Linked DNA regions of Lepisosteus oculatus. The main gene of each other region encodes a partner of the protein of the gene in region 2 in a complex. Links are inferred from orthologs where the notes say so. Each region holds a gene or a part of one and is shown on either strand. Other genes may lie near its edges.

Evidence for each region.
Region 1: lamtor4 (region 2) and lamtor2 share a complex: the UniProt entries of both Homo sapiens proteins name them as parts of the ragulator complex. The link is inferred for Lepisosteus oculatus from reciprocal best matches to the Homo sapiens genes LAMTOR4 and LAMTOR2.
Region 3: lamtor4 (region 2) and fnip1 share a complex: the UniProt entries of both Homo sapiens proteins name them as parts of the lysosomal folliculin complex. The link is inferred for Lepisosteus oculatus from reciprocal best matches to the Homo sapiens genes LAMTOR4 and FNIP1.
Region 4: lamtor4 (region 2) and flcn share a complex: the UniProt entries of both Homo sapiens proteins name them as parts of the lysosomal folliculin complex. The link is inferred for Lepisosteus oculatus from reciprocal best matches to the Homo sapiens genes LAMTOR4 and FLCN.

The regions. Positions count from the first base shown.
Region 1 is NC_090722.1:3,022,994-3,029,955, forward strand, and holds the start of lamtor2 (ragulator complex protein LAMTOR2), read left to right. Parts: upstream 1-3,957; 5' UTR 3,958-4,086; coding exon 4,087-4,154; intron 4,155-4,760; exon of another isoform or gene 4,761-4,901; intron 4,902-5,054; exon of another isoform or gene 5,055-5,126; intron 5,127-5,310; exon of another isoform or gene 5,311-5,393; intron 5,394-5,880; coding exon 5,881-6,043; intron 6,044-6,962. UniProt on the Homo sapiens protein: As part of the Ragulator complex it is involved in amino acid sensing and activation of mTORC1, a signaling complex promoting cell growth in response to growth factors, energy levels, and amino acids.
Region 2 is NC_090702.1:13,159,882-13,167,655, reverse strand, and holds the start of lamtor4 (ragulator complex protein LAMTOR4), read left to right. Parts: upstream 1-4,760; 5' UTR 4,761-4,865; coding exon 4,866-4,868; intron 4,869-6,112; coding exon 6,113-6,193; intron 6,194-7,105; coding exon 7,106-7,223; intron 7,224-7,613; coding exon 7,614-7,711; 3' UTR 7,712-7,774. Other genes in the region: protein tyrosine phosphatase domain-containing protein 1, read right to left, coding at 1-32, 542-720. UniProt on the Homo sapiens protein: As part of the Ragulator complex it is involved in amino acid sensing and activation of mTORC1, a signaling complex promoting cell growth in response to growth factors, energy levels, and amino acids.
Region 3 is NC_090706.1:24,570,902-24,578,122, reverse strand, and holds the start of fnip1 (folliculin-interacting protein 1), read left to right. Parts: upstream 1-4,212; 5' UTR 4,213-4,294; coding exon 4,295-4,383; intron 4,384-7,221. UniProt on the Homo sapiens protein: Binding partner of the GTPase-activating protein FLCN: involved in the cellular response to amino acid availability by regulating the non-canonical mTORC1 signaling cascade controlling the MiT/TFE factors TFEB and TFE3.
Region 4 is NC_090718.1:1,063,149-1,070,857, reverse strand, and holds the start of flcn (folliculin), read right to left. Parts: upstream 3,017-7,709; 5' UTR 2,787-3,016; intron 1-2,786. Other genes in the region: ttyh1 (protein tweety homolog 1), read right to left, coding at 5,349-5,432, 5,731-5,809, 6,915-7,082, 7,225-7,364. UniProt on the Homo sapiens protein: Multi-functional protein, involved in both the cellular response to amino acid availability and in the regulation of glycolysis.

The DNA.
Region 1 (6,962 bases), on a different chromosome or scaffold from region 2:
AGAGATGTTGCCGTGGAAGGTGGAGAGAATGCAGAAATTCCATTCCAACAAAATCATTCCAACAGCCAATTTTAAAGGTGTATTTTTGAAAAAAATCATTAAACATTACATGCACAGAGATTTCTGTGCATGTACACAGATTATTTTGTGTTTTGTTTAATTTTTAAGTCTTTTAAACAGCGAGCTGTCTTATCTCACCCAAAGCACTGACCACAAGAACTGTGGTATAAAGAATGCTTACTCAAATTGTATTATTCAACTCTGTGGTTGTTACCTGCCATATTATTACATGCATAAATATTAAACCAATGAATTGTCATAGTAGAGTTAGCACATAACATCCTTTTTTTCAAATTTGGTCAACAGTCATGTTGATCTTGTCATGGCCATTCTCTTACCAATTGCCAATCTCCAGACTATCTGGAGTGCACATAACTGACCACTAGGTGGTAGCCAAAGGCAGTTTTCAGGTTTTCCAATTCTCATTTGGGATGGGGTATAATAATAATAATAATAATAATTGCTTACACTTATATAGTGCTTTTCTGGACACTCCACTCAAAGCGCTTTACAGGTAATGGGGATCCCCTCCACCACCACCAGTGTGCAGCCCCACCTGGATGATGTGACGGCAGCTATAGTGCGGCAGAACGCTCCCCACACACCAGCTCTCAGTGGGGAGGAGAGCAGAGTAATGAAGCCAATTCAGACATGGGGTTATTAGGAGGCCATGATTGGTAAGGGGCAATGGGAAATTTGGCCAAGACGCCGGGGTTACACCCCTACTCTTTTCGAGAAACACCCTGGGATTTTTAATGACCATAGAGAGTCAGGACCTCGGTTTTACGTCTCATCTGAAGGACGACGCCTGTTTACAGTACAGTGTTATATGTTAGTGTACCTTTTATGCCACGAAAGACAATGCACATAACAGTATACGTGTGTTTATGTGTTTTCCTCTGGTCACTTGTGTTCTCAGTTATTTCTATGGTTTTGTGCCCGATCAAATAGAAATATGTTTGGTAGAATAGTCAACTTATGTCAACTTACTTAAAAAGAGTACCAGTAGTGAGAAGCCTCACAGAGCACTTTATTTTAGTAAGAAAATAAGATTTTCTATTGCTTGATTATGAGCTTTATTGTGAGATATTGTGGAGTTACCATGAATGCAGAACTAAAAGAATTAATCCTTCTTAACCCAAAGACGTTGGGTACTGTCCTGTTAATCCGTTTGGACTGCAGCGACAGAAAAGGGAAAATTTCAGCTGTCACTTCTGACGGGTGGAACTACTCCAGGTGTTTGATTTTCTCCAGTCCAGGTCATTCAAGTTTCTGTTGAACTACAGTTTAGCCAAGATCTATCTCTTGGGCGGGTGCCCTGAAATCCCTTGCAATGTGATACTCTTAAAAGCCGATGAAGTCTCTTCCTCATTTAGTGGTAGCATACGTTTAAGGTCACAGACTGCAGGGTACAGTTGTCAAGTATCGAGCTGGTTTTTCCATTATAGAGTTCTGGGGGAGCATATTCCAATAAAAAACAGACGCAAGGCTGGATACCTCCTGGACGAAATGCCGGTCCGTCACAGGGCAGACTAACGCAAGTACAAACTCACACCAGGGCCAGTTTTCCCAGAAGTCAATTAACCCACCAGCATGTCTTTGGCCTGAGGGAGGAAACCCACATGAACATGAGGAGAACATCCGAACTCCACACAGACAGGACCCCAGGGCCCCAGTGCTGTGAGGACATCTACATGCCTGTGTTTCTTGTTGCCAAGACGCATGATTCCTGACTAAAGAAAGTATACGTATTCAACTTGAATAAACTGTTCAAGTTTGATTAATCCTTTGTCTTTTTGTTATGGTGGACAAAAAATGCCAATGACAATGTAAAGAGATTTAAGAGGGCGCTGGGCCTGTATACCCTGTGTGGTCTGTGGAGTAACATCTGCCAGCCTCTGGGATTCTGCAGGAGGGACACGGCACCTTCTTCCAGGAGAAAGGAAGTCAACTCGCTCCTAGTGGACAGAGGTGAAAACCCGTCTCAAGCATTGTCATATTACCAGCAGCCATATCACTCTGCAACTCACAGCTAACAACCCCCTGAATCTCAGCAGGTGTGAGCCTGGTCAGTACCTCGATGGGAGACTCCTGGGAAAAACTAAGGTTGCTGCTGGAAGAGGTGTTAGTGGGGCCAGCAAGGGGTGCTCACCCTGCGGTCAATGTGGGTCCTAATGCCCCAGTATAGTGATGGGGACACTATACTATAAACAGGCGCCGTCCTTAGGATGAGTCGTAAAACTGAGGTCCTGACTCTCTATGGTCATTTAAAATCCTAGGCCACTTCTCGAAAAGAGTAGGGGTGTAACCCTGGTGGCCTGGCCAAATTTCCCATTGGCCCTTACCAATCATGGCCTCCTAATAATCCCCATCTATGAATTGGCTTCATTACTCTGCTCTCCTCCCCACTGATAGCTGATGTGTGGTGAGCGTTCTGGCGCACTATGGCTGCCGTCGCATCATCCAGGTGGGGCTGCACACTGGTGGTGGTGGAGGGGATCCCCATTACCTGTAAAGCGCTTTATTATTATTATTATTATTATTATTATTAAATATGCTGTAAATGCTCGATTGGGTGCAGAACTGGTGACTGAGGTGGCCATAATATATGAATAACATCAGCGTCAGGCTTATCAAGCTACTGGGTGTCCACACTTGCTCTGTCATCCTGGACAGCTCTTCTCCCAGCAGGAAAGACGTGCTTGGAGGGACGATGATCGCTCGGGACCTTGAGGCAGTGATCCGCATTGGTCTTCTAGGTTAACGAGTGTCCTCCCACAACATTAACCCCTAGAACCCGTCTCTGCCCCCTTGATTCTCTGCCCGCCTGTCGATAGGTGGGATGTGCTGAGGTTGGCAGACTTTGTTGAATAACGCAGAAATGACTCTTCGCCTGCCTTTCTTGGGGGTGTGTATGGTAACTGACCCCGATCCCCAACAGACTCTGGAGCTCGGACTGTGCTACTGTGCAGACTAGCGAAGGCCAGGGGCTTCTCCTGAGACACCTAGGCTTCAGACACAGACTGTGACTATTCTAAAAACAGGTGAAACTAATGCAGCTACTCTACACACAAATATGGAGGGAGAGGTATTAGACACATAACAGGTGAACTTTTTTCTATGTTAACGCTCGTCTGTGTATAATGATGATAATGAGAAGTACAGTATTTTAAACATTTCCGAGGCGAGGTTATCTGGAAAACTATACATCACACCGACAGTAATAACATGCCTAGACTTGTTTATCTTATCTTCGAGTACAATAACAACTTGAACAGGTTTTCGTACTACGTATTTCAAGACTTTATCGTAAAACAAAGCTAATTGTAATATCTAAATCATAAGCTTATCTACTTAAAACCTTTAACCACATTACAAGGCTTTTCCTTCTGCTTTTCGCTTCAGACTTTTGTCAATTAAATCTGCGTGTTACTGTCCGTAACGTGAGGGCATTGTAATGTATACTGCTAACCAAGTCCCAGGTGTTTAGTATGATGCAGTATTTTGTGAGTTGTATCAAGGGGAAGGTGATGGGGGTTGATTTTACAAGGGTAAACCCCACTAGAAAAGGCCGTACTCCCAGGCAGAGGAGAAACACAGATACTGTACTTAATTTCGGGTACTGTACTGAGTTAAAGGTACTACAGTTTTTTGTTTGCGCCTCAAACTAAACGGACACGACACAAAAGTAGACGGGGCCACCTGGTATTTATAAGTCCGCTGTACGTGCCTTACGCCGGATAAAATCTGTCCGCGATACAAACTGAACCGCTGTTTAATGGAACTGTTAAAGTTTTGTGAAAACTACAATCGAGACGTGTGCACAGGACGCTACCGCGTCGCAAAAGGAAACTACAATTCCCAGAACCGCAGTGGACTCGAGACGTAAACAGGAAGTGACTTCCGGAATGTTCAGTCAGCTGACGGAGTGGTGCTTTCCGCGAGGATACTGTATATTTTGGAGAGTACAAGTATTGTAGTTATTTAGATTTAATACTTGATTTCTTCGTATTCTTTTTTCCAACCATGCTGCGACCAAAGGCACTGACTCAAGTTCTGAGCCAGGCGAATACAAGCGGCGTTCAGAGTACACTGTGAGTAATGATGAAGGCTATAATAACCACGTTTCCACCTGATATTTTCACTGATGCGGACTGTTCTGCTATAAAATATATTTGACTGGGTGGGAGATAACCTACACTTAACGCAGCTGTCGAACAAAATTCGTGGGTAACCTGCGTGGGAAGCGGTAACGAGTTTCCCAATCTGAGCTGCCTTCGCCTCTCTTGCAGAAAAAGCTCGTATTTGGTCTCCAGTAACATCAGGAACAGCAGGAACTTCCCCTTAGCGGCAACGGCACGTTTACAATGCCAGCGCGACTCAATAAGGTGGCAGTTGGTATATAGGCTTTCTCGGAAGGCTGAACTGCATTGTGCGATAGTAAAAAAAACGTATGATAAAATACTCAGCGTGAGTACCCGAAGAAGAACGTGTCTCTGCAACATCCTGAAATAACCAAATGAAGATCAATAATTAATTAATTCACTTTAAATAATGTATACAGCATTTTAAAAAAATATATTTTTACGGCCACGTAGTGATTAATTTTCTATGTATTCGTACACGTTTTTACCTGAATCCCAGGTTTAACTTCTAATTTCATAACATCTAGCACATCAGTCTGTCAATGTATCTGGTATAACGCTCTTCACAGCGCTTTGCCACAGATTATTTTACAGATTTCTATGGCAGTATAACTAGTTTGGGAAAAGTATTCAACTAGCAATAATCGCGCCTCGGGCCAAACCTCATATACTGCGATACAGCCACTGTGCAAAGCTGTAACTGACCATCGGACACAGAGGAGAGGAACTCAGAAACTCAGAAACTGGCAGTGGGAAGAGATAAGCCTCCGGGGGTCCCCGGGCAGTGAGTTTGGGGTGCAGTAATGATAGATAGATAATACTTTATAAATTGATGAAAGTCACATACAGAGGGGGCACCCAGATTTGAACTGGGGACCTCTTGATCTGCAGTCAAATGCTCTACCACTGAGCTATACCCCCATAAAAAAGGAGACCCTTCCCTGACCGGGAATCGAACCCGGGCCGCAGCGGTGAGAGCGCCGAACCCTAACCACTAGACCAGCGGGGAGACGATGCTGCCTGGGGACCCCCGGAGCCTTATCTCTTCCCACTGCCAGTTTCTGAGTTTCTGAGTTCCTCTCCTCTGTGTCCGATGGTCAGTTACAGCTTTGCACAGTGGCTGTATCGCAGTATATGAGGTTTGGCCCGAGGCGTGATTATTGCTAGTTGAATACTAATGATGATGTATTGTGAGCAGTTTCCCCAAAGCCCAGGGCTGATATCCTGTTCTCTGGAACATCATGGTCGTCACGGTTATCCGAGTGAGCTAGCTGTGGTTCCCTGGGTCTGTTGTCATGGTAATCCAGGACTGCAGGGGAACCGGAGTCTATCCTGGTAATCAACGGGCGCAAAGCATCCCTGGGCGGGATGCCAGTCCATCACAGGGCAGATACACACTCGCACACAGAGCCAGTTCTTCCAATTAATCCACCAGCATGCCTTTTCACTGTGGGAGCAAACCACAGCACCTGGAGGAACATGCAAACTCCTCACAGACAGCACCCCCAGTACTATGAGGCAGGAGTGCTTACCTCCACAGCACCGTGCCTCCTACAGACTGTGCCTTCAACACTTACTTTGGAAACTCAGTGGAGCCAGCCTGGAATAAGAGGAGGGCTCCAGCAGTCCGTTAGAGACTTGATGATGGTGACTTTCCCTCTGCTCCTTTCCCCAGCCTGCTGAATAACGAAGGCTCCCTTCTGGCCTACTCCGGCTACGGGGACACAGATGCCCGCGTGACCGCCGCCATCGCCAGCAACATCTGGGCAGCGTACGACAAGAACGGGCACCAGGCCTTCAACGAGGACAAGCTGAAGTTCATCCTCATGGACTGCATGGTGAGCCGCTGCACTTCCCCGCGTCCCCACCAGGGGTCGACTGTTCCACTCCTCCAGTGCTTCGGCAGACTGCTTACTGCTGCAAGGAGTCAGAGTGGACCAACCACGAACACTGACCACAGGCAGTCTAGAGGACTATAGCATCATCACCTCTCAGTAGTTCAAGTGGGGAGCTGCGTCAGCATGCGTAGTCTGCAAAGGAACAAGTAATCGTTTATTCCAGGCTGAGAAGAAAGGAAACACAAGTTTCCCACTGTGGACCCGAAGAAGGCTCCACCGTGGAAACGTGTTTCTTTTCTTCTCTTTTCAGCATGGAATAAACCTTTACTTGTTCCTCATCACCTCTTAGCCCTCTTTTCTGAGATATCGGAAGCTGATCAAGGCCGAACCTGGACTGCACTGGCATGGGAGGACTGCAGGAATAGCAGTTTGCTAGTGTAAGCGGTGTTGGTAGTAGGTGGTGCTTTTCTCCCTGGGACAGGATTTCCAAGACAGTGTCTCAGCATAGTGACGGGGGGCGCTGTGCTGTAGGACAGGGGCTCCCAGTCCTGCTCCTGGTGGACCACATACCCGATGATTTCTGTTCCCAGCCGAGCCCTCAGTTCCACAGCTGAACTCTTAATGGATGTATTAATATCGATTCATTCATTTTTATATTTAGATTTAATTTGACTGGTTTCAGCTCTAAACATTTTGGAGGTTACGTTTTAACTACTGTACCGCATTTCGTAAGTAAAATCCCCAACTTTTGAGTAGGAAACTCAATGGCAAATAATCAGATCGCTCAGGTAAGTTGTTAGTACAGTGGAGGGTTGAGTGCAGGAGCTACGCTGGGCTGCCGTGGGTGTGTGGGTCTCCAGCAGCTGAGCTTTGAAGCCCTACTCTTCGGATGAGACTTTAAACCTCGTTCTTCACCGCT
Region 2 (7,774 bases):
GTCTTGCCATGGCTAGAATATCATCTGTCACCCTAAAGGCAAACAGAAACCACATTCCATGACTACTATACAACAGAGGTCTTTTTAGATCATTTTGTAATGCTTATTTCAGTGTTCCAAGGTTATACAAATAGTAACATGCAAAATCAATATTTATTTTTCCATCGTAAAAGGATGATAGCTGTACTGAAATAAGTAATGCCAGCTGTTTCTTAAAATAATAGAGAAAAGCACTGTACAGCTGAAATTACTCACTCAGGCATGTGCCTTGAACATCTTGCTGTTCCTCAGAGACTTTAATGAGGAAGCAAATCAATGAAATGTGATTCTCCCCTATTGATTTATATGCATAGTACTCAGCAGGGCACAAGTTTGGCGTCACTAACACAGTTGTCTACATTTACGATGAACTCAACAAAACTGCAAAGCACTGTTTACCATTATAACTACACAAACGTTTCTACAGTGAAAGGCCAGTTAATTATTACAAATCAGGTGGATACTGATCATAAAGAAGGAAAATAAGCATATTGAATTCTACCATGTGGAAAAGACACCCCGTATGGCCTGCTGTCTCAACGTCCAGGTTGCTGGTCCCTCATAACGACAATCTTTTCCTCTGCAGGTCAGAGCGCAGATAAGATTTGGGGGCATGGTTTTGACAAGGTTCTCTCGGGCCTGGGAATAGGAGGGCCGGGGCCCAGGAATACACAGGGCCATTCCTGGTGTGCAGGCGGATGTGAATGGACAGGCTTTGTCTGAACAGCAATTAAGGCGGAGTGCAGCCAACCGAAAAGTTCGTCTGGTAATGAACATATTAAAGAAATGTAGAATTAGGTATATGCCCAGGACAGCAAACAGCAACATTAAGCAGCAGAGTTGTGACAATAAAGTGTATAAATCCTGAAATACATAAAGACCATCTTAGAAAAAAGATTCTAAGCAAAAGTATTACATTAAATTATGTTAAAATATTAATTGATGTCTTTAAAGTCTTGTTTCTAGTGCAGACAAGATCATGAATCTTCACACTAAAGTGAATATTGACAATCTTTATGACTGTTAAAATGATATAAAAATTGCATCACTTACCATTATTGCGTCACATTTTGAAATAATTAAAGCAACATAAAAATCAAATCTGTTCAAATCCCCAATAGGCTCTAGTGTATTAGAGCTAGAAATGTACATAGGGCTGCTTCTCTCACTGCCTTTGTGGTTGCTTATTCTGACCTACATCCACTAATCCCTGTTATTAATTCCATAAACACATTAAGACACAGAGGACCGGGGCTTGTAATATTCTTTGTTATATAACTGGGCTCCAGACCAAACACACCTTTATTCTAAACTGAGCCATGACTGAAAAGTTCAGAAACACTCTAAATTAGACAAATTGTCCTTCGGGATCAACAAAGACTTATCTTATCTTATCTTAAATTGCCAGACAGTGTGCAACAAATATTTTATTTAGGAAATCAGTGCCGAATTATTGACACTCTTGATAAACAGGACCATATTAATTCCTTCCTGTGTTTTTCTTGGTTTTCAGGCTTGACATTCAATAGGATAAATAATTTCATCACCTGTCACCACTCAACTTTCTCTGCTGATGCAACAAAGTCATCAGCATTATAGTCATGAATGATCAATTAATCAAATTTCAGAAATCCATGTTTTATTTTTATTAAAAACATACATGCATAATTAGTGTGATGTTATGCTTGCTGCTTAATATATAATATTTCGCCTTTGTATATGAGGAATCTATGAGCACGTACATAATGATACAATTCCCACTTGCATTCATAACCTGGACTGTTTTAGTACATGACTGATTACATTGATGCACACAGTACAGTGAGGTATGAAGATAACAACAGTACCCATTGTTGAGCACGGAGAGGGTTGTAAATATGGTAGCTCCTGTCAACATCCATCCATTTCCTAATCCCTTCTTTCAGTTCAGGGTCGGAGGGGAGCCAGAGCCTATCCTGGCAATAAAAAGGGCGCGGGCAGGATAGATCTTGGACAGGACACCAGAGCATCACAGGGCCGACAAAAACAGACACAGACACGCACACACTCACTCCAGGACCAAGTTTCCCAGGAATGAATTAACCTACAGGTTCATCTTAGGACTCTTCAAGGAAACCCACACAAACACAGAGAGGTGTTCCCCATGTAGATAGCACCCCAGATATGATATATTTAATCTTTTATTCTTACAGGTAAGGGAAATGAGAACAAATACTTATTTGCAGCGATGTCTTGAGCACTCATTTATACAGCAGTACGTATACTAGAGTAATTTAATGGAAGTATCTTGCTCATGGACACAACAGCAGTGTCTGGACAGGAGATGTCCATGATGTCCATGTCCATGAAGAAAAACATTCTGAATACAAGATATCTGCAAAGTTCAAACACTGAGTGAAAAGGCTTGACCCATTTGGCCGATACACTGAATCACCTACAGTATGCATGCCAAACCGATCAGCATATACAGTACTATAGCTGTCAAGGAATGTTTGATTGGTAAGGCTGAATTCATCTCTGAACATCTACAGTATGTGAGCCTACAGAAAACTTCAGCATAAGGTTCACCAGCCATAGCCTTTAAATGTGTCCCATAGCCCTGAACCCAACATCACAGTGACCCACTTTACAGTATAGGCAACACAGCAACAGAACTGCTTGCCTCTAAACTCTGGAGTGGTGCAGTCTTCTTTCTACCTTACTGCAGTAAAGATGGAAAATGTCTTTAACCTCATATAAAAGACATGACTTTTAAGACATTGTGAGATGCAATAGGATATGATTCAGGTCATTTTGGATTGCGATATGTATTAAAGATAAAATTATTTTACAGTGTTGTATTATTAGTACTAATAAATGTGAGTCTCGAAATGTAATACATTTAATGGTGCATAGACTGTCAATGTGATGACAAAATGTTTTGTGTTCTGATGTGTAGCAGTGAAGATGATGAGATGAAGTGCATTTATATTAAGTGTACACTAAAATATGTATCTGTTATAATGTTATTTAATGTTATGTATAAAGTTGTTTGAAAGACATCATTTCAATACTAAAACATAAAATTCTTAATCTCTACTCATATTTGTACTCAATCCTGCTACTGTACTTTATGAAGTAATTGTACTTGTGCTTCAGTATCAGTTCCAAGTATGGTCCCAGGACGTCTCTGTAATCTACTGCAATCTATGCACTTTACTGCTTTGTGATTTTTTATTAAAGCAATAAAAATAAACAGTACAAATAATGAAAAAAAATGTGCGCTTTGTGTCCACTGGAGGTCAGCAGAGATTTAGTAGTACTGTAAAGCAGCACACATAAAGGTAAATACGTGCTGGTTAATATCACAGATTGTATTAAAAATTAGCTATATGGTTTAAGTGAGAGGCTTTAAATAAAATTCTTAAAATTCTAACTATTGGACTGGATTTCCCAAAAGGAGTTTTATTAAGTGTATGGTTCATTAATAATAATAATAATAATAATAATAATAATAATAATAATAATAATAATGGACACTCAGTGGGGATGAGTAAAGAGTGACGCAAACAATGAACGGATCGGAAAACATAAGCCCAGAGTGGACAGGAGGCGGGAGTGGACACCCAGGTGGTGTGAAATCAAGAGAGGTGAAGAGAGGCGTGAAGTCAAAACCTGCAACTGAATAGAGAGGAATAGAAGGAAACGAGTCTGTAACTGAGAGAAGGAGGAACGTATGATGCTAGATTCAGGATAATTTTGATTTTGGATGTCTTCCTGCAATAGGAGTTCCGAAACCCTTCTTTGAGAACGCAGATGGAGAGACCGTGACGATCACAGCCGTGAGAAGTAAAATGAGAAACTATGTTCTTGGAGATATCTTTGATCTTCACAGCCCTGACATGTTCCCTGAAGCGGTCTCCCAGTCTCCTTCCTGTTTCCCCAATGTAGATAGCTGGGCATTTTCTGCAAGAGATGCAGTAAATAAGGTTGCTGGAGGTACAAGATGTCTTCTGAGTGATCTGGAATTGTCCAGAAGGGCCTTGGGGCGAGAGAGAGTAAGGGAATAGCTGTGAGGAAAAATAAAATAATGAACACTAATTGGAATATTTCATTTCCGTTAGCACAGGGTGTTCTCTCAGATTTTAAAATTGAAAGGCATCAGTGCGCCAGGATAATCTCTCGTTCAGGATACCGCAATCCAGTTTAAGGCTTTCCTTGATATTATTAGCATTAGAGGTTGTGCCAGTAGTATTAACCCACCAACTCATGTTTCTAAATGCTTCGATATTAGTCTCAACTTTTTGGAGTTGAGACCAGTTACATTCAACCAGAACTCTTTCAGAACAAGATGTTTGATTTTTAAGAACTGAAAACAAGACGTTCATCTTTATTGACGTAATTTACTGCATGATCCTGTATCTTCGAATCAGTAAGACCAGCCTGATGGACAGTTATAAGATGCGCAAGTTGTAAAGCCAGTTCTGTTCACACTGTAGCCAAAGTCTGATTGAATACAGACTAAAACTGTGCATTTCTGGAAAAAGTGCATTATAAATTTGGAGAGGTCGGAACAGCGGCACTCTTGAACACGGGTATTTCTATTGCTCATTTTCGTGGAGTTATACGGTTAAGTTTAATGGCCGCATTGAGAGGACTGGCCGTAGAATTGACCAATAAAAAATAAGACCTGCGTCTCAATGCTCAATGTGGATTGACAGCAAAGTTGTCCAATGAACATTACAAATTCAGGAAGTACCGTTTTTCGAGTCAGACGACACGTGACAAGATCATATGATCATTATCACAGCGGAGTCGAGCTGTGAATGTTTTTCTTTTGATTGAACATGGTGAGTATTCCTTTAAAACAAGAAAAGTAATACGGATGAATACTCAAAATAATATAAATATTTTGCGTTTCTGTACTATTTTGTGCTGATAACAAACGAACATGATACCAAATATATAATAAGAAGTAATGAAATATCAGACTTTTATTAAAAATACTGTCCGAAGAAGATAAACATAGTCTTTATTGCAAATGCGATTATATATGACAATTAGTATCCACTCTGGTCTGGTTAAACGAAAGTACGTGCTTTAACTTTGGGGGCTGTTATCTCATGATCATAGGCCTGTTTAGCTGAAGACAGAATGAATTGGTTAAGGATCGTGCACCAGAATTATCAGACCCTTAATCTTTTGTAAAGTATTTTCTTAAGGATAGTATTTTTAAAAAAACGAAATATTCACTTCTGAGATATTTTTGTGTTTATAGATACATTGCGTTAGGGCTACACACTACTTTCCTCCCGAAGGCTTTGTAACCTACTTTGATTCCTACGCCTTTAAAGTAACTACCCTCTTTTTTTCCCCGGTAGTTAATGCCATTGAGTTTTCAGGAGTCCAAGAAGATGGGCGGGACGCCATCACATGCACATAGTTAAAGAACAACATATTTAACCTAGGAAATTATTAAAATCGTAGTTTTTTTGTGTAAGTGCATCTGGTCATAGCAAGTAAGCTTCTTGCCTGTAAAGTAACAGGTGTGATTCGTAAGCTTTACAACAGGATTCAAGTTTCCCAAACCATTATGTCTGCATAGATTTAACTTTAAAATTTAAGAAAATGAAGGAAGTTAAGAAAATTTTCGTAACAACAATGTTAAATATCTTCCCGAACGTGGGTCTTTTTTATTTTGAAAGAGTCACGTGGTAATGCCCTCTCCCTCTGCGGGACATAATGTGACTAAATGTCGTTCGTAGAGTAACGTTTAATCAAAAACGGTTTTATTTTGTAGGTAGTTTTCCCTAACTTGTGGTACACGGTAAAGACGTTTCTAGGAAACCATTTTTGTTTTCGACAGGGAATGAGATTTATGTTGAGCTCCAGATAGATTTAATTGAACTGTCCCCCACAGTGTCCGTGGTATTCTACTAAGAACGTAATGCTTTGTAAAAATGTGAAAAGAAGTTGTTACAAGACTATTTTTGTTATGGCAAGGACAGCCTCCTGTATTAACATTGAAGGGTCAAGTTCTCCTTTTCCCTGTTATCACAATACTGACAGGAAAGATGTCTCTGCTGTGTTTCAGACAACAGCTTTGACTCAAGGGCTGGAGAGAATCCCAGACCAGCTGGGCTACCTGGTCATCAGTGAAGATGGAGTCCTTGCTGTGAGTAAACACCATACTTTTACAATAAAGAAGGTGGCTGGGATTTAGACAGGAAGGACAGGAGGTGCAGGAAGGAGTGAGCTATGGAGACAAAGGAGGGTCTCCTTCATCATAATAATCATTCCAATAGTTTCTGGAGAAGCCCAGAATTGAATTGAGTTTATAACAACAATTCTGGAGGGATGACGACAACTGAGGTCAATCAGACTTACTCTCTTACTCTCTGACATCACTTACTCTCCTGAAACACTGTAAGGGGCGGAGTGGTGGCACTGTAGCTAAGGATCTGAGCTTGTGCCCAGAGGGTTGCTGGTTCAAATTCTGTAGCCGGCAGAGGAATCCTACTCTATTCGGCCCCTGAGCAAGGCCCTTAACCCCAACTGCTCCAGGGGCACTATACAATGGCTGACCCCAAGCTTCTCTCCCTGTCTGTGTGTCTCATGGAGAGCAAGCTGGATTATGCAAATATACAAGAATACACAATTTAATAATGCAAGAAATTGTATATGTATAATAAAGTGATCTTATCTTACCTTAAATACTGTATGTGATCTTGCTTATATCTTTTGCATCCCACCTCCACCTCGTCTCCACCTCTGCAGCTGCCCCTTGGTCACTCCTCGCTCTGTGTGGGGTCCCAGCCTCCTCTTCCTATGGATAAGAGGTCAGCCCTCAGCCAGACCGGTTAAACCAAATTCTGACTGAACACTCCATAATCCTTAATATCTTGGGTGTTGTTACTGCTAGTGCACTGGGACCTAAACATACATCGTTGTGTTGTCTGGTTGAGCTTGGCATTCCTTTTGCCCACTTCCTCCACTAGTGTGGGGCAAAGCTGCCACAGGTTGGTTTGTCTCCTTCAGTAACCTCCTACAAGCACCGTATGGCTAATTAAGACTTTCTCCCCCCTAGTCTGCCGGTGAGATGGAGAACGACGAGCATGCGGCGGGGGTGATCATGCAGATGGTGCAGACAGCCTGCAAGTTTAAGCTGCAGGGCAGCACAGAGCCCCCCTTCAAGCGCATGTCAGGTCAGTTTAGACGTGCTCTACCTCTTAACCGGTGCTGGTAAACACTGAGCATCCATTTCAGCTTGTGTCAGGTTTGGCGTTACACTCACTCGTCTTTTTCATTGAGCTGGGCGGCTTTGCCTCGAATGTTAGAATTTTTTTTCCCTCCCGCAAGTATTTGCCAATTAAAAGGCATTAAGAAACGATCCTGCCTATCATTTCTCCCAGAAAACAGTACAGCAGATTTGATAGTAATGCTAATGGATAGAACAGTACACAGGGTTACCAGAGGTTTAGGAATCCCACACAGTGAAGTTTGTTGATACAAACAGCAGGTGGGGATATGTGTTTAGGAATTGTAGATATGTCTTGTCTTGTTTTTACCTTTTCTCCTCTCCTGTCTTTATCTAGTGGTGTTTGAGGATCATGTCTTCATGGTGACCGTGTCTGGGCAGAAGGTCTTTGTGGTGAAACGGCAGAACAACCAGCGAGAGCCAGTTAACGTCTAGAGGTGTGAGGGTGGACCCGACGCTGCCCAGAGATGCCTTTTCTCCAAGCAGTAGTGGAATGAG
Region 3 (7,221 bases), on a different chromosome or scaffold from region 2:
GTACTTCTGTGGGGCTCAGGAAGCCCTGTGTTCTGAAAAATGTTGCATTTGTTTTCAAAAAGGAACAAGTAAAGGTTTATTCCACACTGAAGAGAGTGAGACACCTGAAGAAGGGTCTGCAACCAAAACTTTGTTTCTTTTCTTCGCTTTTCAGCATGGAATAAACCTTTACTTGTTCCTTTGCAGCCTATGCATGCTGACGCAGCTACCTACTTGAACTATTTTTTCAGTTTTCCATCTAACAGTAAAGAAGAAACTAAGAAGGACAGGATGACATTCCCTATGAATCTTTTTACCCTCAGCAGCACCTAAGATGATAAGTACAGTAGCTATTAAGCTTGTCCATATCTCATCTTAATATGTATTCAATCAGTTTATGCATACTAATTCAGTTATAATGCGCACTCTAACACCCTAAAATATGGCCTTATGGTCACTTATGGCTCATTTCAGCTTTATGTCTCCATTCTAAGTTTAATTCTGTATATCCTTCTGTCTGAAATAATTAAACCAGTTCTTACTTTCAAACCGAGGACTTAGTCAAACAGTTCATAACTATCATTTAAAGATGGTATGTAATGCAATGTGATACAGATTGAAAGATTGTGTACTTGGATTGAAAGATTGTGTGCTTGGATGAAGAAGTTTAAGAAGTCAAGACATTTAAGAACTTTACATCTCCTCAGTGAGTTCCCCTCATCACAGTGAACACTGGTACCGCTATTTCGAGTGCTTGTTAACTGTGCTTTCTTTATAATTACAGAAATGAGCTGTGCTACTCTTCAGATCAGTCAAAGGGTGTTAGCTGTGATTATGAAAGCAAAAAAACACTGCAAGAAATCCTACAAAATTAAGGTTATAGGGAAAGTTGATTGTTGGTTGGTATCTACTGTACAGTACTTCCACACAAATATGGGTCCTATCCAAAACAACACAGGAAGGTATGCTGAACAAGGTGTGACAGAAGAGAGTGGTAAGCCTAAACCAGAGAGAGAGAATACAAGGTTTCCTGAAAGAAAATTAAATCAAGGAAGAGTTTTCCAAAAATCTGCAAAGAAGAATGTAGATCCTCTAGATAGAATGTGAAATCAAGACGTTCTGCAAGAGGTAGGTTGTGTTTTCTTTAGGCCATTATACTGTGAGAACATTACAAGGTGAATGGGATTGGTTGAGTACAGTCTTGAAGGCTGAGACCCACAAGCCCAGGGTCAAGAGTTAAATGTGTATACCTCAGACCAAATCTGGGTACCCCCGGTCCTGGAGGACCTCAGCTCTTAATTTCTTAATTAAACCATTTTTTTATTTGAACAAATTAATCGTTGTTTCCCGATTTTGGATCGGTGGTGATTTAATGAGATCTACAAAATCACAAGCTAGGAACACAAGGGCTATTACGATGATTTGGGTTTCTAGTAGGTCGCATGGGACTTCAGACACTTTCTCAAAAGGCAATGCTCTCTCATCATCTGGGGTCTTCTGTCCTTTTCCCTCAGGAAAACTGCAATAAAACAAAACTGGAGTAGAAGAATAAGGCAACTCATTAAGAAAACGAGTTGTGGTTGACTTTTCACATCTTTACCAAATGTTGGATGCCGTTGATGTTGATTAAATAATGCCTGGAGATCACATTGTTTGCTATATTTGTTAAGTACAGATCCAGGTAGAACAGACAGACAAAAACACCTCACATCGCAGACTACAGGGCTCAAATGTTTCTTGCCAAAACGTACAGAAGAGTTGTCTTTCTTTTTTTCTGAGGAAGAGCAGCAGCACTATTGCCGGTATAAACATTTTCATGATGTATGAGTGTTGTCTGGAATGAGCTCTTACTTTGAAATACTCAAATCATTGAGCTGAGAACACAGATGATGCTCCCTGGAGGCTGAAGCCAAGCCAAAGAGCTGAGAATCTCCTCAAGGGACAAGTCCAGGAGAACATAACTGTGGTGTAGGTGCTGTGGGGCCATTTCCAAATTGGAGCATATAAAAAGAATGAATTAATTAACTATGACTTTTGCTTTTCTCATTTGTTTTCACATTTCTCTAGTTCCCACATGGTGCTGGGGCAGAAACTTCACTTTCAGTTGAGCTGGTGACAAAGAAGGTGCAAGAGACAAAATGTATGGGAACAAATGAGGACAGTTAGATGTACAGTTTGAGTGTTATTTTTAGCAAGTATTTTGGAAATAACATTGCATAACCGTTTTAATATTTTTTATATTATTCAGTGAATGAAAAGATAAATTGTGCCTGAATAAGAAGGCAGGTTAATCAGATTCCTCTACTTCAAACAAAGGCTTGAAAGCTTATTTTAGGAAAACTTTGTGTATATAGAAATAACATGTACATTTGAAAAGAATAAAAATGTTTCGACTGTAATTTGTTTTGCTATTCGAATAATACTAAATTTGTTTCTGTGGACACATTTTCATGTAAAAAACTCGTAGATATTAATTAAAAAAGGATTTTTTTATTGTTATACATTTTGTACATCTATACTTTTTATATTGAGATTAAAACTGAGATTAAACAAAACTGTCTTCAATTTCGCACACTTTGCAAATCATACACCACTGTCTGGTGTTGAATGCGGATGAGCTAAATGATAGTCTTTCTGTGTTTCGGTAGAGGGCAGTGTTGCCTTTAATGAGGATCATTTTCTTTAAAGGTGTTAAGAACTACCTGCGCATGGTAAACATTTTGTGTTGAAGTTATGAGATGGAAATTGGTCACTAGTGTTAAGTGAACACTTAAAGAACTTTTTCAGCTAAGCATCATGCTTGGGTGTATATTTTATTGTAACCAGTGAAGAGCAAGATGCACAGATGTGCTGAGTTTTATTAACCTAAGAGCCAACAGATTTCATGTAGCAGCAGGATGTCATATTCATCTGAATTATAAAGTGAACAAGCACTGACTGACTAGAAAATCGAATAGAATAGAATTTCAATCAGATGTTTAAAATGGATCCATCACCTAAAATTAATGTAATCTTTTTGAACTTCTATAAAGAGGAAACGTTTATTTGAACAGGATTTCGGACTTTGACTGTTGCTTTTGTATACATAAATCTGAACACAGTTCATCCATTCATCCAGCAACAGGCACAAGAAAGGATATGCCCTGCACAACACTCCAGTCCATTGAAGGGCACACAAACTCTCACCTACAGTAGGGCCAATTCTCCCAGAAGCCACTCAACCTAGCAGAAAGGTTTTGAGCTGTGGGAGGAAATTAGAGCACATAAAAGAAACCCATGCAAACATGATGAGAACATACAAACTCCACACAGACAGTACCCCAGGTCAGGCATTAAACCCAGACTCCCAGCACTGCATGAGAGCAATGCTAACCATTGCACCACCATGCTGCCAGAATGCAGTCTCGTGCAATCTTATTATTCCAATGTTAGGTCATTTTATAAAGAAGTGGTCACTCAAATTTCAAGATGTTACTAACTTTGCTTGTGTAGTTTTAGCTGAAAATGACTAAAGAAAGTCATAGGTTTTTCTACCTTGCTTTTCTTATTTTAAGTATTTATCTACAGTACTGATGTGCAACAAGCTCTGCATTTACAGTACTCCTCTACAGATGTAAGAGAAAATAGATTGATACAATGACATTTGAAGACTCATTTTGTGTAATGGCTATCTTTTTTAGCGTGATTTTTGTTCTGAATTTACTTATTTTAAATATGCCTTTTCTAGTGAGTTATCACACCTGTTTAATGAAAACAATTTCGTTGTATAAAGCTTTTTATTTAGCAAATGTAATTGATTGAAATATGCTATAAAGGTATTTCCCCCAAACCATTACATTAGATTTGTCTAATTTTAAATAAGATTAGTTTCAACATTTTTTTCCTGTTACGTAATGAACCTATAGCAATGCTTGGTATTATTTAATTAAGGAAAGTGCATTCTGTAGTAAAAGACTCATGCATTCAATGTATCACCTTAAGATGTAAATTGAAACGTCGTATATTTAAGTTTAACGTGTGGTTTTGATAATTTCTGTACAGTTCTGTAAATGTTTCCTAGCCACACGCCAAAATATCAACACAGCAATTCTGTCGACCACGTGGTGCTCTGCCAAAAATAACAGCCAATCGCGTAATTGAAAACCATGAAGGTGCAGTATTGTCCAATCAGAAAAATCGAGTTGTGTTTCCTAGCAGCTTGTGTGACTAATGCCTGTCATATGACTCTGACACAAATGGAGTTAGTTTCAAGGAACTAGGTGTGCTTGTGGATTGATAAGAAAGAGAATTTTTGTACCAAAGTATTTGGTACAAAATGCCTCCTACGCTTTTTCAAAAACTTTTTAATAAAAGAAATGCCTTTTCGCCTCCTCCGAAGTGTGCAAAAGACGAGCAGACATTCAGGTACGTGACATAACAAATGGTCTTGGTTTTAATACCGTGCCATGGTATGGCTTCTGTTTGTATCAAGATAACGTAAGTTTCAACGTGGTTGCTCTTTGTTTTTGACAACATCGTGATTATGATTGCAAAAAGAAGAATAGAGCCGTATGTTTTTTGGACTCTTTTGTTTCTGGGTTACGCATTCGCTACATTAAAATATGGAATGTGAGATTTTTACAGAATTCAAGTTTACTTTTTGGGGTGTTGACATTTGTTTGGGTAAGGTGGTGCATAGAGTCGGAATGACGAACTGGGATGCAGCCTGTTCGGGGAGCAAGTTATATGATTAAGTACCGTGTTTAAAAACGCTATTAACTATTACAAATCCATTGCAATCGGTCACCCCCCTTACTGTAAACCATTGACGAATGTAAAATTCACTCATCTCTCGAATGACGACAGGGCGTCTGACTCAATTATATACAGTATACCGCAACAAAAAACGCGTGGGTTTGTGTGAGGTCAGTAAAGCTAAAATTCATATCCTCCCCTCTCACACCCTATTAATATTAAAGATTTGATGTTTTAGAACACCATTTATAGTCGGCACTGCTTGCATGTATTTATTGTACAGTATATAGGCTGTGCATTGTATTTATTTGAGATATTCTTACAGTCCAGAACTGTGCTGTGCAGTATGTCTGATACATATTTTGTAAGTATAGCTTATCATGCTCTTAAAATTGCATTGAGTGAAAAGTACAGTATATGATGCATGCAAGTGTTCACCGCAGTCGTACAGTACTTTAAAAAGATTGGTATGAAAAGGGTAGAACAGATTATGGGTCTTTCACAACTTTTCTGGGTTGAAGACCACTGTCTGAGAAGCCCCTCTCAGGAAAGTCCCCCAATTTAAATAATCTGAATTCTACAATAATTATCGGTAATATAGCATTGGATATTAAAACCAAAAATGCATGTCTTCGTGAGGGACCTTTTAGTTAAAATAGACACGTACAGTATGTGACAGGATTCCTGCGCGTTGCAGAGTGAAACTTTTTCGTTTTGCTGTATCATGAATCACAAGACACATTTCCTAACACGACCGCTATCTATTGCAAAAATGAAAACTGTCATTTTTTTGAGGTTATATTTCTTTTTGTTAGGTATTGCTTTGTGTTACAAATTAAAACATTTTCTTAAGATTTTTTTTAGGAGAATGCATTTTTTCTAGTCCCCTGCTTTGTTAGGACAATATACTGATTATGTTAATATTTGTAGAAGATATGCACTGAGAGAAGTAATATTAGGTCCAGTTGTGTTCATGTGGTTACTGGTATCTTATTGATCTGAGATAAATTAAGTTTTTCATTGAATGATCCCATAGAATTTTCATCACTATTCATAGTTGATATTTTAATCTTGCTGGAGTGCTCTTTTGTTCACATTTTTATTAAGAAGAAAATAGATTCTCGTATTTGTCATGGGGTTCTACAATGTGCCAGAATAGTGTCTCTGGCTGTTTAATGAAGAAGGATCAAATAAAACTTGATTTTGTTGAGGTTTTTTGTTTTATCCAAGTCTTTGGGCCATACCTCTGCATTCATCAGTATTTGTGTTATTTTGTATGAAATTAAATATTATTTTTAGGTTTGTTTTGATATCTTCAATTGAAGTAGGATGTTTGTTTTATCCTTTTTTAATGAAAGGGAGGCTTAATAAATTGAGCTGTGAGACCTTATGTTCATGAGATTTGATATACTCTTTTTTTAGGCATTTTAATAGGGACATTCCTAGAGAATTGATAATCTTTAATTGGAATCCTCTCACATATTCTCTAGAAGTCTGTGCAATTGAACTTGAAAGCGTAAATTAGCAAATTCCATATTAAAGATGCCTTACACCTAACCATACAGAAAAATATGCAGCATTTTTACTTAAAAACAGGATTGGAATCACAACTGCATTCATTCAGTACCTCTTCTGATGTATTTATGACATCATTGAGTTCCCAGTGGTTTCACAGACCTTAATTATCACTAATCCTGGACTACCTGATGTTAATTTGGCTAGCGAGTCCAGGGTTTTCACAAATTAGGGTCTGCAAAATGAGTCCGTAATGCACAACACATCTCTGTGGCCTTGCACATCAGGTCATTCCACATTTCTTTTGTGGGTGATGATTTTATAATGCGTATTAGAATCTGATCAGTACAAAAGTGACTAATGAACTTTGTGATTATGTAATCTAGTTGTGTAGTAGGACGAGGTCACATCTGAGGAAAGAGTAAACTCCAGAAAGTTTTCTCTTTTAAAGGAGGGGGTTTCATTGATTTTGGCTCCTATTTTTTGTCACTAATGGTGGACACTTAACTAAAGTCTTTCATAATATAAACTGAACTATGTGCCAGCATGCTGTGTGTGCTAATCACAAGCACATGGAATGGGCCCTTTATAAATACACTTCACCTTTCTGCTGCGGTCAATTATAGGTAAAAATGCTATAAATTATAGCTATAAAAATGCTTTACCTGCATTAATGTACGTCACTCAGTCTGGGTTAGAATCCATTCCTGACCTTTGGGCTTGACCGAATTTTTTATTCCTGAAACTAAAGTTTCATTCAGTCAAACATAAATGATCAAGTAAGTGTTTAAATATCTTTAATATTGTTGTTGTTTCTATATCTTAATTCTATATTATCTGAGATTCTGTAAGAAATCTGGAATGCTTCTGCTTCATGGCGCATGTAAAAAAGAATTGTAACTTTTAAGTGGGGGGTTGGTTTTTCACATTTTTTACAAAGCTAAAGGATTTGAAAAAATGGTGTTGGCTGTTAGGGATTTGTAACAGTAGTGA
Region 4 (7,709 bases), on a different chromosome or scaffold from region 2:
CACACCTGGAGTCCAGACTCTTACTGGACACACTGTATAAACACACACACACACCTGGAGTCCAGACTCTTACTGGACACACTGTACACACACACACACCTGGAGTCCAGACTCTTACTGGACACACTGTATACACACACACACACCTGGAGTCCAGACTCTTACTGGACACACTGTATACACACACACACACACACCTGGAGTCCAGACTCTTACTGGACACACTGTATAAACACACACACACACCTGGAGTCCAGACTCTTACTGGACACACTGTATACACACACACACACACACACACACACACACCTGGAGTCCAGACTCTTACTGGACACACTGTATACACACACACACACCTGGAGTCCAGACTCTTACTGGACACACTGTATACACACACACACCTGGAGTCCAGACTCTTACTGGACACACTGTATACAAACACACACCTGGAGTCCAGACTCTTACTGGACACACTGTATACACACACACACCTGGAGTCCAGACTCTTACTGGACACACTGTATACACACACACACACACACCTGGAGTCCAGACTCTTACTGGACACACTGTATAAACACACACACACCTGGAGTCCAGACTCTTACTGGACACACTGTATACACACACACACACACACACACACACCTGGAGTCCAGACTCTTACTGGACACACTGTATACACACACACACCTGGAGTCCAGACTCTTACTGGACACACTGTATACACACACACCTAGAGTCCAGACTCTTACTGGACACACTGTATACACACACACACACCTGGAGTCCAGACTCTTACTGGACACACTGTACACACACACACACACCTGGAGTCCAGACTCTTACTGGACACACTGTATACACACACACCTAGAGTCCAGACTCTTACTGGACACACTGTATACACACACACACACACACCTGGAGTCCAGACTCTTACTGGACACACTGTACACACACACACACACCTGGAGTCCAGACTCTTACTGGACACACTGTACACACACACACACACCTGGAGTCCAGACTCTTACTGGACACAGTGTATACACACACACACCTGGAGCCCAGACTCTTACTGGACACACTGTACACACACACACACACCTGGAGTCCAGACTCTTACTGGACACACTGTACACACACACACACACCTGGAGCCCAGACTCTTACTGGACACACTGTATACACACACACACACCTGGAGTCCAGACTCTTACTGGACACACTGTATACACACACACCTAGAGTCCAGACTCTTACTGGACACACTGTATACACACACACACACACACCTGGAGTCCAGACTCTTACTGGACACACTGTATACACACACACCTAGAGTCCAGACTCTTACTGGACACACTGTATACACACACACACACACACCTGGAGTCCAGACTCTTACTGGACACACTGTACACACACACACACACACCTGGAGTCCAGACTCTTACTGGACACACTGTACACACACACACACACCTGGAGCCCAGACTCTTACTGGACACACTGTATACACACACACACCTGGAGCCCAGACTCTTACTGGACACACTGTACACACACACACACACCTGGAGTCCAGACTCTTACTGGACACACTGTACACACACACACACACCTGGAGCCCAGACTCTTACTGGACACACTGTATACACACACACACCTGGAGTCCAGACTCTTACTGGACACACTGTATACACACACACACACACCTGGAGTCCAGACTCTTACTGGACACACTGTATACACACACACACCTGGAGTCCAGACTCTTACTGGACACACTGTATACATACACACACCTGGAGTCCAGACTCTTACTGGACACACTGTATACACACACACCTGGAGTCCAGACTCTTACTGGACACACTGTATACACACACACACCTGGAGTCCAGACTCTTACTGGACACACTGTATACACACACACACACACACCTGGAGTCCAGACTCTTACTGGACACACTGTACACACACACACACACCTGGAGTCCAGACTCTTACTGGACATACTGTATACACACACACACACCTGGAGTCCAGACTCTTACTGGACACACTGTATACACACACACACACCTGGAGTCCAGACTCTTACTGGACACACTGTATACACACACACACACACACACCTGGAGTCCAGACTCTTACTGGACACACTGTATACACACACACACACACCTGGAGTCCAGACTCTTACTGGACACACTGTATACACACACACACCTGGAGTCCAGACTCTTACTGGACACACTGTACACACACACACACACCTGGAGTCCAGACTCTTACTGGACACACTGTACACACTGTACACACCTGGAGTCCAGACTCTTACTGGACACACTGTATGCACACACACACCTGGAGTCCAGACTCTTACTGGTCACACTGTACAGACTGTACACACACACACACACACACACACACACACACACACCTGGAGTCCAGACTCTTACTGGACACACTGTATACACACACACACCTGGAGTCCAGACTCTTACTGGTCACACTGTACAGACTGTACACACACACACACACACACACACACACACACACACCTGGAGTCCAGACTCTTACTGGACACACTGTATACACACACACCTGGAGTCCAGACTCTTACTGGACACACTGTACACACACACACACACCTGGAGTCCAGGACAGCTCTTAGAATACACTGAAATCATATGACAGGCGATTTAATTCGACTACACACTACTTGCTTGTCAGGATCAATCGTATAACTGAGGACATTATTGACGAAGTCTTACCTTCTCTGCGCTGAGCCTGGCGGTGTTTACTTAAGTAAACTACAAAGAGTTTGATGTCTGTCTCGTAGCAAGACCTAGAACTACCTCGACTGCTGCTACCGCCGATACTGCGAGAGCTGACAGCAACGCTAAAAATATTTCGAGCGACAGTTAAGATAACGACAGGTCTCCGTCCACTGTCAGCACAACAGACCCTTCGCCTCTGCTGTCATGTGATTCGAGGCGCATGATTCTGACGTCATGCTCTCAAATTACCGTAGTTCTTCAAAGATTTTCACCTCTAAAAAACAGCAAAACAACAGCTACCCTGACCGATTCCAAGATACATAAATCCACCTTTTCTGCACGAAGGAAACGCATCAGTTGCACGAAATGATATTTAGTTCACTTCTGTAATTACAGGTAAAAGGAAGCGCGTTTCATTTTAAGGTCACCATGACCGAGAGCGCGTTTTATTGGAGATTATCTTTCATGCGCTGATTGTACAGGCGGCAGTGTGTTCAGTGTGTAGTGTGTACATTGTGTACAGTTTTGTACTGTACATTATGCAATACGTGTATCAGTCACACACATTTTCATTTCCCCACAGAGACAGGGCACGTGTTTGTGTATCAGTGTGTGTAACCATACGTTTCATAGAGCATCTCCTGATGTGTGTCAGTGAGTGTAGCGATGTGTTTGTATCTGTATGTAGTGATGTCTGTCTGTCAGTGTAGCGATGTGTTTGTATCTGTGTGTACTGACGTGTGTCTGTGAGGGTAGCGATGTGTTTGTACCTGTGTGTACTGACGTGTGTCTGTGAGGGTAGCGATGTGTTTGTACCTGTGTGTACTGACGTGTGTCTGTGAGTGTAGCGATGTGTTTGTATCTGTATGTAGTGATGTCTGTCTGTCAGTGTAGCGATGTGTTTGTATCTGTATGTAGTGATGTCTGTCTGTCAGTGTAGCGATGTGTTTGTATCTGTGTGTACTGACGTGTGTCTGTGAGTGTAGCGATGTGTTTGTATCTGTGTGTACTGACATGTGTCTGTCAGTGTAGCGATGTGTTTGTATCTGTGTGTACTGACGTGTGTCTGTGAGTGTAGCGATGTGTTTGTACCTGTGTGTACTGACGTGTGTCTGTGAGTGTAGCGATGTGTTTGTATCTGTGTGTACTGACGTGTGTCTGTGAGGGTAGCGATGTGTTTGTATCTGTGTGTACTGACGTGTGTCTGTGAGTGTATTGATGTGTTTGTACCTGTGTGTACTGACGTGTGTCTGTCAGTGTAGCGATGTGTTTGTACCTGTGTGTACTGACGTGTGTCTGTCAGTGTAGCGATGTGTTTGTACCTGTGTGTACTGACGTGTGTCTGTGCTGACGGCCCCTGTGTAATGACCCCCACAGCCTCACACACACGGGACACAGACCCCAGTCTGGCAGAGATCGACTTTATTAGAGGCAGGAGAGGGGACAATACAGGGTCGTCATCTGGAAACACAGTCCACCAGCTCCCCCACACCTCAGAGCTGCAGTGACACTGGCCCGCCTGCGCAGCGCGGGGCGCTGTCCCCCGCCCGGACGCCTGCAGAGACCGCAGCGGCTCCGGGGAGAGTACAGCAGAAGAAGAATAATAATTAATAACACAATTAATTAAGCAGAAGTAGCACCTGTAGTGTCAGGAGCGCAGCTAGAGTTTTATTGCTATGAATACACAGTGATAAACAAGGGTACAGATCCCTTATCAGGTCTGACAGTGCTCGGTCCCTCTTTATAAAAGCTCATTAGAAGGCTAACAGGAGAAAAGGCTGGGTGTGTTGTGCAGTCAGGAGGACACCCTGGTGACACAAACATCAAACAGGAGCAGCGCCACTCTCGTCTCACTTACAGCTGACCACTGTCCACTCCTGTCCACTGTCCACCCCTGCCCCAGTCAGGCTGCCTGCTGTCCACTCCTGTCCCAGTCAGACTGATCAGTGCCCACTCCTGCCACGTTCAAACTGACCAGTGTCCACTCCTGTCCCAGTCAGACTGCCCGCTGTTGACTCCTGACCCAGTCAGACTGACCAGTGTCCACTCCTGTCCCAGTCAGACTGCCCGCTGTTGACTCCTGACCCAGTCATACTGACCAGTGTCCACTCCTGTCCCAGTCAGACTGCCCGCTGTTGACTCCTGACCCAGTCATACTGACCAGTGTCCACTCCTGTCCCAGTCAGACTGCCCGCTGTTGACTCCTGACCCAGTCAAACTGACCAGTGTCCACTCCTGTCCCAGTCATACTGACCAGTGTGCACTCCTGTTCCAGTCAGACTGCCCGCTGTTGACTCCTGACCCAGTCAGACTGACCAGTGTCCACTCCTGTCCCAGTCAGACTGCCCGCTGTTGACTCCTGACCCAGTCATACTGACCAGTGTCCACTCCTGTCCCAGTCAGGCTGACCAGTATGCACTCTGGTCACAGTCTGTCTGATGAAATGGAGTGACTCTGCTCCCTCCACCAGCCCAGCAGTTTTATAATTAAACCCGTCATTTACAAACACGGTCACAGCCTCTGGCCAGACGAGAGGACAGGACAAGGACAGGACCTTCAGTGTAAAGAGAGGATCTGGGAGTAGGTGGGGTTCGAGTTCGATTGGCTGCCTCCATAGCCAGTCATCATGCTCGGTGAATACTGTCCAATCAGAGAGAGGGAGGGGCGGGGCCACCCGCAGACAGAGGAGAGGGCGGAGTCGGAGCGATCCATTGCGGAAATCCAAGAGGGGTGCCCCAGGAATGAAAGGAAAGAAACAAAATAAAAGGAGTTACTCAAGTAAAAGCAAGATGAAGATTCATGTTATGAATGATCCCCGAGACTAAGCGACTGGGCTTTACAGATGAAAAGGACTTCAGGTGACTACTCTCCAATTAGAGAAGGATTCTGTCAATCCGTTCAGGAGAGTAACCACCTGCCACCAGAATGGGAGCCTCACCGAGGGGGGCGGGGACTGCCTGTCAATCAAGGGGAGGCTCTCATATCCAGGATTGCCATTGGAGGAAGTGCTTGGAGTCCTGAGAGAGAGAGAGGGGTTAATACAGACACACAGGACACTCCAGTACATTAACACTGCACTGAGAGAGAGAGGGGTTCATACACACACACTGACTGGACACTCCAGTACATGAACACTGCACTGAGAGAGAGAGGGGTTCATACAGACACACTGACTGGACACTCCAGTACATGAACGCTGCACTGAGAGAGAGAGGGGTTCATACAGACACACTGACTGGACACTCCAGTACATGAACACTGCACTGAGAGAGAGAGAGGGGTTCATACAGACACACTGACTGGACACTCCAGTACATGAACACTGCACTGAGAGAGAGAGGGGTTCATACAGACACACTGACTGGACACTCCAGTACATGAACACTGCACTGAGAGAGAGGGGTTCATACAGACACACTGACTGGACACTCCAGTACATGAACACTGCACTGAGAGAGAGGGGTTCATACAGACACACTGACTGGACACTCCAGTACATTAACACTGCACTGAGAGAGAGGGGTTAATACAGACACACTGACTGGACACTCCAGTACATGAACACTGCACTGAGAGAGAGAGGGGTTAATACAGACATACTGACTGGACACTCCAGTACATTAACACTGCACTGAGAGAGAGGGGTTAATACAGACACACTGACTGGACACTCCAGTACATGAACACTGCACTGAGAGAGAGGGGTTAATACAGACACACTGACTGGACACTCCAGTACATGAACACTGCACTGAGAGAGGAGACTGGGTTGAGATCATTCCTAATCCTATTGAAATGAAGCATCATTTCTGTCTGTCTGTCATTAAATCAGAGGAAAGTACAGACAGACAGACTGACTGACTGACCCACTGCCTCAGTAGTATTTTCACACCCTCTGACCAGGCAAACAGTGTCTGTATCTGTGTGTGTATGTGTAGCTGTCTGTGTCTCTGTGTGTGTGTTTGAGTCTCTGTATCTGTGAATTTGTGTATTTGTGTGTCAGTCTGTGTGTACGTGTCAGATAGTGTGTGTGTGCATGTATCAGTGCGTGTGTCGTTGTGTGCGTCTAACGTTTGTGTGTAGTGGTGTGTGTGCGTGTCGGTCTGCCTGTCTGTTACTCACGGGAGGGGGGGTGCGCTGGAAAAGGGCGGAGCCCAGCTGGCCCCCTGGTAACTATAGAAACCAGGTAGGACACCGCGCTGGGAGCCCGCGGGCGTCTGTCTACGTGCCTGGTGAGAAGGAAAGGGGTCCTCGCTCTCACTGTCGGAGTCTTCATAGTTGTCCGAGTCGCTGCCAGGTGGGAAAAGACAGAGAAAGAAGTTTATGAAGAACACCCCTGAAGCAGGAGTTTTAATAACAATTGAATGCCTGACGAGATCGAGGAGCTCTAGTCTAGCACAGCGATGACAGGCAGAGCCGCGGACGCCCTGACCTGGAGAAGCCCCTCCAGGCGCCGGGCAGGGAGCAGAGCAGAGTGGTGAAGGACACAGCAGACAGCAAGGAATAGAGACACAGATACAGCAGCCCCTCCATCCCATCATAGCACAGGCCCTTCAGAGAGTCCACATAGTCCTGAGACACAGAGAGACACTGGTCAGCACAGTGACCCTGACTGACTGGACACTACAGCACAGAGACACTGACTGACTGGACACTACAGCACAGAGACACTGACTGACTGACTGGACACTACAGCACAGACACTGACTGACTGGACACTACAGCACAGACACTGACTGACTGGACACTACAGCACAGACACTGACTGACTGGACACTACAGCACAGTGACCCTGACTGACTGACTGGACACTACAGCACAGAGACACTGACTGACTGACTGGACACTACAGCACAGTGACCCTGACTGACTGACTGGACACTACAGCACAGTGACCCTGACTGACTGACTGGACAC